Alligator mississippiensis: one gene and its partners. The protein of the gene in region 2 interacts with the protein of the main gene of each other region in a pairwise test. Links are inferred from orthologs where the notes say so. Each region holds a gene or a part of one and is shown on either strand. Other genes may lie near its edges.

Region 1 (3,745 bases), on a different chromosome or scaffold from region 2:
TGGCGTACTGGGCTGCATTGGTAGGTTTGTTGCCAGTAAATTGAGGGAAGCAATTATTCCCCCTTATTTGGCACCGGTAAGGCCACATCTGGAGTACTGTGTTCAGTTTTGGGCCCCCCACTACAGAAAGGATGTGGACAAATTGGAGAGAGTCCAGTGGAGGGCAATGAAAAGACTAGGGGGCTGGGGCACATGGGTTATGAGGAGAGGCTGAGGGAACTGGGCAAATTTAGTCTGGAGAAGAGAAGACTGGGAGGGGATACAGCAGCCTTCAACTACCTGAAGGGTGGCTCCAAAGAAGATGGAGATGGACTGTTCTTGATGGAGGCAGATGACAGAACAAGGAGCAATGGGCTCAAGCTGCACCAAAGGAAGTTTAAGCTAGATATTAGGAAAAACTTTCTCACTAGGAGGGTGGTGAAGCACTGGGCCAGGTGACCCAGAGAGGCAGTGGAATTGCCATCCTTGGAGATTTTTAAGTCCTGGCTAAACCTCCTATTCCCCTGGTGGTAATGATGTAGCCAGGGCTGATCCTGCTCTGAGCAGGGGGCTGGACTAGGTGTCCTCCCAGCCCTCATGTCCTAGGAGTCTGTGAAGGGTCCCAGCAGGGCTCAGTGCTTGAACTCTGCGGGCTCCTGTTGGAAATCTCTGGGTTTCTCTTCTCTTGTGAATCAGGCTTGCACAGAGCTCACCCGGTGGTGGGGCATCCTGCACCACAACACCCTCGAAAGGATCCCAGGGGCCCTTGCCAGGGTGCTGTGGGGCCCTTGTGGAGCACCCCAACTTCACGCCTCAAGAGGGCCTTTCAGACACAGGGCAGCGCCTCCTGCGGCACCACAGCTGCTGGAGGGGGGCCGGGCCGGCCGGGCCCTGCTCTGTCTGCTCGGACTGCCAAGAGGGAGCAGCAAGCCACGGCGGCTGCCCTGAGGTGCAGGGGCTGAAAGAAGCCCCCGGTGGGTGCTGACGGGAACCAGCCCCGCGTGGCGCTGCTGAGAGGAGCCGGGCGTGTGTGTGCACGTGCGTGTCGGGGGTGGGGGTTGTACGGTTGTTGAGGTGTGTGTGTCTCGGGGTGTCTGTGTGTGTGCAGTGCAAGGGGGGGGCGTCAGAGGGTGGGTGCGGTTCAAGGGGGTGTGCGTCAGGGGGCGTGTGTGTGTGCGGTGCGGGGGGGCAGTTGTAGCTGTGTGTGTGCACGTGGAGGGAGGGCTGTCGGGGTGTGTGGTGTTCATGTGTGTGCAGGGGGGGCCACGCGGCCACGTGACTTCCACGAAGGCGGCGTGGGGCAGGCGCCGGGGAAGCCCGGCAGTGCAGTGCAGTGCAGTGCCGTGCCGTGCCGTGCCGTGCCGGGCAGGGCCGGCCGGGCAGGAGCGGGCGCCAGGTGCAGGCGCTGCCGGGATGCCGCGGGGCGGAGCCTTCCCCTAGAGCCGGCCGGGGCGGTGCTGTGGGCTCCCGCCGGCGGCGGCGGCGGAGCAGCGGCCGGGATGTCGCACGGGCTCCCGGCCTCCGGCAGCGTCCTGCAGCCCAGCGCCTCGGCCGGCGGTAACCAGCCGCCCGCACAGGTAGCGCCCAGGGCGGAGCGGGGCGGGGCAGGGCATGGGCGGGGAGGAGGGGGTGCCCCTGCCCCTGCCCCTGCCCCTGGGGCCGGGCGGCAGCAGCAGGCAGCCCCCGTGAGGGCGAGGGCTGTAGCTGTAGCTGTGCTGGCAGGCGGCCTCCCTGCCCCCCGTCTTAGCCTCGGACCAAGCGAGGGTCGGGGTGCGGAGTCAGGGGCTCTGCTTTCCTGGCGCCCGGCTGTGCCTGTGGCTGTCTGTGCTGCTTTGAAAAAAAAAGTGGATGTGAAATCCTTCCTTGGGCGATCCCGGAGAGTTTTGCATCCACTTTTCAGACAGTTAAGGCTGTGAGAGGCAGGCGGCTCCTGCTTGGGCTGCGGCATTGCTGCCCAGCCTGGCTCAAGGAACTGCTCATCTCGACAGGAGCAGAAATGCTTGGGACCTGTGAAAGTGGGGCGCTGCGCCCTTGCGTGCCTCGGTTCCCCTCTCTGTACAAAGGGTGCGATGAGAGTTGTTGCCACTTGCAGAACGCTTTGAATGCCCGGTGTCAGAGTGAAGCACTGTCACCGTGACCCATGGATTTGCCTCCTTGTTCACACTAAAAATGATTTCCTTGCTTTAAAATCTCAATTCTGTTTTATTTTTTAAAGAAAGCTCAGAAAAGTGTGGGTTTGTTTTCCAGGGTCATGAAGAAGATGACAGGAAAGTAAGACGGAGAGAAAAAAACAGAGTGGCTGCCCAGAGAAGCCGCAAGAAACAGACGCAGAAAGCAGATAAACTGCATGAGGTGATGGACACCTTTATGTTCTCAATTTGTCTTTTTTCGGTGCTATGTCTGGGATTTAACAGTACCAGGAATTTCTTAAATACACGTGGGGGGTTTTTTCATACTAATTTAGTGAGAACAACTGTGGGTGTGGTGGAGAGATGCATGAGTTTCCCTGCCACATCATGCAGGTGGTCTCTGTAATGTAATACTTTGTTTCGGACACTGAATATCTGCTGTTGGCTGGAGGTGTAACAATCACGAGGTGGAACAATTAAGAGATGGTAGCTTACAGGCAAAGCTTCTTTTCCAGTTCCCAAAGGGAACTGAGGTATGAGGGTTCATACTCTTATGTAACTAGGTGTTTTCATTATCTATATAAACATTGATCTTTTTTAAAATTGTCTTGTGTTCTCTGCCTCAGTAATGCAGTGTGACAGAGCTTACTGGGTCTCCAGTTGGAAAGCTTATAGAATAGCTATTTTGTTTCTTTTCTGTAACTCTCAGTATCCAGTATAGCAGGACTGCTGATGACACTGTAATATAAACATTCAGGACTTCAGCTACTAATGCTTTTATGTAAGTGATATAGCGCTCAAGGTCCCATTCAGCCAAGCATTCTATCTGTCTTCTACACTGTGTAAATAAGAATTATCCACAGAAGATGTTTCTATTATTTCTTTGTCCTTGGGGCTGGTAGAAAAGAACAGGAAAAATTACAAGCATCACCACACCTGAATACAATTATACCTAGAGGGGAAGCACCACAGTTTTTTGAGTTTTTCCTCTCTTAACACGTACAAGAGCTTGCTTCAAAGCTCCTCTGCAATCAAACAATAAGCTTATTGCCATATGCAGTTTCTTTACAAGAGGGGCTCAGGATTGGAGTAATACACATTGGACAAGACTCGGATGCTGTAGCAAACTGTTTAGAAATCAGCATAGCAGCTGGCCCAGGTAGCATCTGATTCTTTCAAGTGTTCTTATGAGCTTCAAATTCCTTCAAATTTAAATGGATGAATAATAAAGACATCTCAAGTGGAAGAGAGTGTATTACTTTTGTTAAGTTGCGTGATACTTTCATTTTTTCAGACGGGAACACATAGTGACTCATGATTTTCTAGCATACTTGCTTGCTGGTCATTGTGGCTGGAAAGCTAAGAATTATCAAGAAAGTGCTGTTAGACCATGTTCAGTTGAAACTAAAGACCCGAAATAAAATTATTTTTGTTTTTTACTGAAACCAATACTGTCGGCAAGATGGCATTGTCCAGCATTGGACAATATGCCAGTTCACTTTATGTGGAAAGAACTTCAGCAGACTGTCCAAGTCCCACATGCACAATGTATGATAGCTGTGAACAAGGGGTTCACAGAAACTTTTAGGTCTTTTTCAATCATCAGTTTATACAATAGGTACTGTAAGAGGAAATGT
Region 2 (3,275 bases):
TGTGCCCATGAGAGTTTCTTCATGTCTCTGTATTCATGTGATCTCCCCAGTATTCCCTGTGTGTGTGTCTCCAGGTATACGTGTGCATATGTGTCCCTTGGCTCCACATGTCTTTGCCTGTCTTAGTGATGTGTGTGTATGTGTGTGCGTCTCTGCCACCCTGGGGTCTGTGTCTGGCGGTGTGTGTGTCTGCAACCATGTGGACTGTGTGTCTGTGTACGAGACTCCATGTGTGTGTCTGTATCTCCATCTGTGTAATGTCAGTGTGCATGTGCATGCATGTGTGTGTCCTGGACGCCAGGGTTATACCTGTGTGTGCATGCCTGGGTGCATGTGTGTGTGTGTTGGACACCTTGGTTCTATGGGTGTGTGTCCCCTAGTTGCCTCTGTATGTGTGTGTATGTGTCCTAGATGCCTGTGTGTGTGTGCACACGTGTGTATGCCAGATGCAGAGGGGTATGTTGTGTAAATGTGTGTGTGTCCCAGATGTGAGTGTGAGGGGGTGTGTTGGATGCCTGGGTTCTCCGGGGGTGCTGCCAGGCAGGACTCCTGGGTTTCATGTGGGGGGGGGAGGGGTGCCCCCTACCCTGCTCTTCCGCATGACCCCCGCCGCGGCCGTGTCCTTGAACCCCGTGTCCCTACGTGGGTCCGCTGCGACCCGTGTGGGAACGTCGGTAGCAGACAACTACCCGCCCCCCCGCGTGGACCTCCCCCCTCTTTTCCCACGCGCCCCACCCACTCGGGAGGGGTGGGACGCTCAGTGGAAGAGGCGGCGGGGGCGTGGCCTCGCTCGAGCCAGCCAATCGAGGCGCGTTTCCGCCGGCCCGGCGCGCGGGGGGAGTATATCAAGCCCCGGCAGCGGTTGCAGCGCATGACACTGACTCGAGTGGTGCCGGGGTGGACACACGGTGGCTGGTGCGCAGTGCCCAGGACCCTTCCTGCGCCCGCATCCTTGCGCCGCTCCCCCGCGAGACCCGGCTGCTACCGGGGAGAGGAGGTGGTGACTGCCTGCAACCTCCGAGGCGTGAGATCTCCAACCCCCCCGCTCTCCTTCCTCCGGGCCTTTCGTACCGGATCCGGCTCGGCCTCGCCCCCGGGCTCCGCGTGCCCCGGGTGGATGTGCACGAAGATGGAGCAGCCCTTCTACCACGACGACTCCTTCCTGACGGGCTATGGCCGGGCCGAGCTGGGCTCCCACGCTGACTACAAGCCGTACCGGGCCCTCAAGGCGCAGCTGCAGCTCCGGGCCGGGGCGGAAGAGGGCGGCGGGGCCTTTTACGCCCCGGCGGGGCTAGGCGAAGCCGGCAGCGCCTCTCTGAAGCTGGCCTCTCCCGAGCTGGAGCGCCTCATCATCCAGAACAGCAACGGCGTGGTTACCACCACCCCCACGCCGCCCGGTCAGTTCTTCTACCCGCGGGGCCCCACGGAGGAGCAGGAAGGCTTCGCCGACGGCTTCGTGAAGGCCCTGGACGATCTGCACAAGCTGAACCACCTGCCGCCGCCCAACGTGTCACTCGGAGCTGCCCCGGCCAGCAGCGCCTATGCCCCGGCCCTGCATCCGGAGCCGGCGCCTGTCTACACGACGCTAACGAGCTACCCGCCGCCCGCTGCCGCTACCGCCTACCCCAGCGCCAACCTCAGCTACCTGCCCCCAGGCTACCCCCGCCCGCAGGGCTTCAAGGAGGAGCCGCAGACGGTCCCCGAGCCACCGGCCCCGGCGCCCGGCAGCCCGCCACTGTCGCCCATCGACATGGAGGACCAGGAGCGCATCAAGGTGGAGCGCAAGCGGCTGCGGAACCGCCTGGCCGCCACCAAGTGCCGCAAGAGGAAGCTGGAGCGCATCGCCCGGCTGGAGGAGAAGGTGAAGAGCCTGAAGGCGGAGAACGCGGGGCTGTCCAGCACGGCCGGCCTGCTCCGCGACCAGGTGGCCCAGCTCAAGCAGAAGGTCCTCACGCACGTGAACAGCGGTTGCCAGCTCCTCCTGGCTGTCAAGATGCAGGCCTTCTAACCCGGGGGGGCTAGGGAAGGGGGCAGGCCCCCCTTGCCCACCTCACCACGAATCCGGAGCTGGTTGAAACCAAGCTTTCCACCCCCACCAACCCCCTTTCTCCCAGCCGGGACTTTATCGCCGGATAAAGTTAGCGCGGGGGGGTGGGGGGGACTTTTCCCGCGGGAGAACGCGGCAGGCACTGGCCCCCGGGCGGCGGTAGGTGGCAGGAGCCAGCGGGCCTCTTTGCATGGCTGGACGGTGCAATATGTTAGGCCTCGATGTTTTTTTCTTTTTTTGTTTTGTTTTTTCCTTGAAGGGGGGGGAGGGGGCTGGACCACGAAGGCTGAAACCCGGAACGGACAGACAGCCCACCCTAGATAACCTCCTCTCCACCTGGACTGACCCCCCTCAGCAATGTGGGGAGCAAAGAGACTGGCTAGGAATGTTGTTTTATCCCCCCCACCCCCTTCTTTTTACCTCTGGATTGGTGTGTGTGTGTGTGTGTGTGTGTCTGTTTGACTGTTTGACTGGGCAGAGTCTTCACCATGTTTTTCCCCCTTTTATGTTTGTTTTAAAAGGAGGGAATGGGGAAAAAAAAGTAATGATAATTATTATTAATAATAACGAGCCCCTTGGGGCTTGTTTTACTGCTTTGTTGTTGTTTGTTTCTTGTTTTTTAATGGACACTTTTATTTAAGTAAAAAGAAACATTTCTTGATATAAAAGGACGTGTTTTGGCTCTGGGGGTCTCTGATTTGGGGGGGCGGGAGCTGGATTATAGGGATGGGGGGGTCGCTTGATGAGGGGAGGGGGTGCTAGGGGGTTCTGGATATGGAGAGGGAGCTACCGGGTTGTGTCTCTGCCTCAGTCAGGCCTGGGCCCCGTGTCTTAGTTTCTCCTTCTGCGGGGAGGGGGTTCCTTCCCCAGTCCAGATGCGGGGTCTCTTCCCCGGCCGTATCCACCGCGCTCCTCCACCCAGCTTGAGCCCATCGCGAGCTAGAAGGGCTGTAAGGAGGGGGGGCTTTCCCCGGTGACGCAGAGGAAGAGGCCCATATATGGTCACGCCCGGGCGTGTGACGTCAGGGCACCCGGCTGCCGGGAACCCCCGCCCACGCTGCCGGGCAGGGGGCGCGGGGCCCGGGGATCGCGTCAATTTCCAGCCCGGGGGGAGTTTCCCGGGGTCAGGCCCGCTTCCGGGAAGTTCCCTGCTCCCCATCCCCTAGGAAGTGGGGGTCCCCCCTGTTAACCCTTTGCCCCAATCCCTCTTGGGGGAGGGGGGGGCAGC
Region 3 (3,745 bases), on a different chromosome or scaffold from region 2:
CGTTCCACAAGAAACTGTGTTTGCTCGGTGCTACGGGACAGGCCCAAAGTGGTTCAATCTAAAATTGTAAGCACCACAGGACCTGTATCATACACAGGCCAGACTGATGATGAACAAGTTTGGAGACGCCACGTGGACCAGCTGCGTGGGCGTTCTTCTACTAATAACCCTATACCTGAGCAATCTCCAAGCACCAATCTACCACCGACAGACATGGATTCGTTGGAGAAGTGCTTACCTGTTTCCACCAGTGCAAACCCTTTGCCATCGCTGTCAAAAGGAAGCGTTGCTGTTGAGTCTCCAGATAGGCTGACAGGGCTGTCATCCACTGAACCCCTCGCTGAGTCTGGTTCTATGGGAAGACCATAGTGGAAGCGGAGTCCTCCCAAATGGTTGGCTGACTATTCTGTCTGGGGGGAGGGGTGTTGTGTCTTATTGTGTTTTCCTTGTACTGTCCCTTTAAGGCCAAAGTCCTTCTAGTCAGCACTGCAGGGTTCACTTGTTTCTGGCAGTTTTGCAGCACTGGGGACTCCATATTCTCTGCCCTGGGGAGCCAGAGGCATCCTTGGTTCCTCTCCCTCCGCAGGACTGGAGCGGGTCAAGTGAGAGGCAGAGCAGGTATAAGATCTGTATGCATATACTGATGCAGTTGTTAAGATCCACCCTGGATATGATTACAGAGAGTTATAATAATAAATAATTGTTAGTTCAGCGCAGCAATGTCCAGAGTGTTGTTGCTGAACCCACAACATATCAGATCCCTTGTAAGCAAGTCTGCCAAGAGCTCTCAGCCTTTTCCTGGGGTCTGCAAGCCCTGGCACTGAGTGTTAGGTGTTTGGTGGAAAATAAAAATCTGCTTGGGAATTTCCCCAGTAGGGCTTAGTGAGGAGTTCAGAGAGGACAGCAAAGGGAGCCCTAGGGGCTTACTGCTCACATGTACACACCTGAGCAATCGACTCTGCTTCCCCTGCCTCTCTGGAATTTTCTGCAGTTCCTGCAAGCACTTCCTCCCCGCCTCCCCAGCCTCCTTTGAGGGTCTGAGTTTCACAGGCGGCGCAGGGGTTTTTTCTCCTTCCCCCGTTCTGCTGTTTGCTCTCTGTAGAAACCCATCTCACCACTGTTTTTAAACCACTCGAAGGTGTTGGGGTTTTTCTGGGCTATTTTGAAGCTCGTTTTCCCAGATGCGTGTTTTTTTTCTTTTGAATGCAACTCTTCATCTAAAGTTTCCGCCCATGTGACTTTCAGCTTGCATCCCCCGTATATTCTGAGAAACCACAGAGGGCCAGAGCCTAAAGACACTGACATATTACTGCAGAGTGCAATTACTCTGAGAGAGGAGAGACACCGGGCAGGACCAGGGCGCACAGCAGAGAAAGTGATACTGGGCAAGGGAGAGCCACAGCCTGCCAAAGAGACAGGCTGGGGGACAGAGGCAAAGAGATTTCCCAGGGGAGAAAGAGGACACAGGAGAGGGGAGAGTAATAGCAGAAGACACCAAGAGTACAGAGGACAGAAAGGAAGCCAAAGAAGCCTTGGCAGAGGGAGGCAGGAGCCATGCCCCATAGCTCGGACAGCAGTGACTCCAGCAGCTTCAGCCAGTCTCCCCCACCCAGCAAGCAGGTAACATTTTGAATTGTTTGCTTCTGGGCTCTCCTCTTCAGTCAGCTCCTGGGGGGCAGAAAGCTGCTGGCATTGGAGGGGATCCTCAGTGAGGGCTGGAGACATGCCCTCATCTGCTGCACAGAGAGGCAGGGCTTTCTAGGAACCAGCCCAGGGAGAGGCACAGAGCTCTCTTGCAGGGGCAAGCTCCAGACCAGGGACATCAATCACTGAACAGAGCGAGAAGGAACCTCATTAGACCAGGGCACCTGAGGACTTATGAACCCCCTGCTGCTGGATGTGGAGGCACAAGGCATCCAGCCAACTGGGAGACCCCTCAGGGGTCAGAGTCTGTCATGTGCTCTGAGCATGCCCTCCCCCCCATATAATTAAGATCTTTTGATGAATTTGAATCCTTCCTGCCTCCCTTGGAGGTTGTTGCCCCCATCTGTCCAGGGCTTCTTTTTGTACATGCTCTGCTGTTAGCCCCCTTAAACTCTTCCTCAGTGAGTGGTGTGTGATGGAGAAGTCCTGTGAGTTGGCCTCTTCCATATATCTTTCCATCTGCCCTGTAGCATGCCTGCCATGGCCAGACACTAGCTTCATTTAACATGTATCCCCAGTATTTCTGGCCCCTCTGAATATTTGTAATTTTACCACACATTATCTGCCAAGTGCCAACAACATGGCATGGGGCAGGAGAGTCGTCACCCTGAGGAACTCCCAGACAGGCCCTGGACAGACAGGCCTGAGCTGGCACTCAGTGTGCTGGATGAGAGAGAGGGAAAGAAGGAAAGTAAGCAAGCACAAAGCAATCAAGGGAGAAGTATTCAAGAGGCATATTGGAACAGAGCTTGGTGTGGCAAGAGACCAGCCAGCGGACCTGCCAGAGGTGGGGTTAGGAAGGCCCTGAAGGGAAGGGCAAGAAGTTGAACTGTGATGAAATGGAAAGATCACAAGGTGTGGGGTAGAAGGATGTGGACAGATTGGTAGGCCAGAGAGAACTTTAGTGGCGGCATTTCCCTGGCGAGAGGGAGGGGGCGGTGTAGATGTCAGTGAGCCCAGTGAGGCATCAATGCCAGTATCTGGGGAGGAGATGAAAGGGTCTGGAGGGAGTTCTAGCTGTCAGGGATGGTGACAGCTCAGCAGAGGATTGCTGTTGTGAGAGGCTCATGTCCCAGGCCAGGAAAAGAGCTGTATCTGTGTAACTGGTGCAGATATGACCTGGAATATTGCAGCCAGCTCTGAGCCTTATGTGATCAATGATGAGAGACTAAAATACAGGAAGCTCAGAGAAAGCAGCTGCAACAATTAGGAGGCCTGGAGGGACCAAGTTCTGGGAAAAGATGAAAAAGTTGAGCTTATCTAGCAGGGCTGAGCAGTGGCTCTCCTGGGGCTAGAGAAGATGAGCTGGTAGTTTTGTTTGGTCTCTCACTGTTGTGGTTCTTCAGACCTGAACCATGGAGCCTGTGATGGTTCATTTCCCTGTTCTGTCAGAACATGGAGAGTCATAGGCTTGCCCCAGGGTTGGGATGTCAAGAGCCTTGTACAGAAGAGGAGCACCCCAACCTGGTCTTAAGCTGATGCTGTGTGTCAGACGGGAGCGCATGTTCTGTGGAGCAGGGGAGAGGCTGGCGTGATCTCTGCTGAGAGGAATGTTGGCTCAGGGCTGTTTTGTGCTGCCCCCGCATCCCCGCCCCTGTGCCTTTGTGGGAGTGGAAGGGAGGCGATGCCCATGTCATTCCCAGGCTCTCTGTGTTTCAGGACTCTTCTGACGACATGAGGAAAGTCCAGAGACGGGAGAAGAACCGCATTGCTGCCCAGAAGAGCCGACAGAGGCAGACTCAGAAGGCAGATACGCTTCACTTGGTAAGAACCTCCCTTCTCAGCCTGTCCCAGATCACTGCATGCACACATTAGGGAATGTATTTCAGCACTAAGGAGTGCAGCAGAGTTCGGCTTTGGGCCTGGGCCACTGTAGGGTGCTACTGACAGCACTAGCAGTAGCTGGAGAGCAGGGACTAGGTAGCTCTGCCAAGGGGCCAAAAGGTTTCTTTCCAGATGAACTGTGGGCACTGTTGGACATCTCCTCAGGGGATGCTCTCCTCTAGGCTCCCCCTTCTCAGTTTGTTGCACTCTTGTTTGT

What was found.
Region 1: the proteins of JUNB (region 2) and BATF3 interact in binary tests that used the Homo sapiens proteins (3 or more experiments, as listed by UniProt). The link is inferred for Alligator mississippiensis from reciprocal best matches to the Homo sapiens genes JUNB and BATF3.
Region 3: the proteins of JUNB (region 2) and BATF interact in binary tests that used the Homo sapiens proteins (3 or more experiments, as listed by UniProt). The link is inferred for Alligator mississippiensis from reciprocal best matches to the Homo sapiens genes JUNB and BATF.

What each region holds. Positions count from the first base shown.
Region 1 is NC_081824.1:189,585,852-189,589,596, forward strand, and holds the start of BATF3 (basic leucine zipper transcriptional factor ATF-like 3), read left to right. Parts: upstream 1-1,292; 5' UTR 1,293-1,478; coding exon 1,479-1,556; intron 1,557-2,226; coding exon 2,227-2,331; intron 2,332-3,745. UniProt on the Homo sapiens protein: AP-1 family transcription factor that controls the differentiation of CD8(+) thymic conventional dendritic cells in the immune system.
Region 2 is NC_081831.1:22,791,810-22,795,084, reverse strand, and holds JUNB (transcription factor JunB), read left to right. Parts: upstream 1-858; 5' UTR 859-871; coding exon 872-2,008; 3' UTR 2,009-2,715; downstream 2,716-3,275. UniProt on the Homo sapiens protein: Transcription factor involved in regulating gene activity following the primary growth factor response. Binds to the DNA sequence 5'-TGA[GC]TCA-3'.
Region 3 is NC_081825.1:261,468,080-261,471,824, forward strand, and holds the start of BATF (basic leucine zipper transcriptional factor ATF-like), read left to right. Parts: upstream 1-996; 5' UTR 997-1,554; coding exon 1,555-1,620; intron 1,621-3,363; coding exon 3,364-3,468; intron 3,469-3,745. UniProt on the Homo sapiens protein: AP-1 family transcription factor that controls the differentiation of lineage-specific cells in the immune system: specifically mediates the differentiation of T-helper 17 cells (Th17), follicular T-helper cells (TfH), CD8(+) dendritic cells and class-switch recombination (CSR) in B-cells.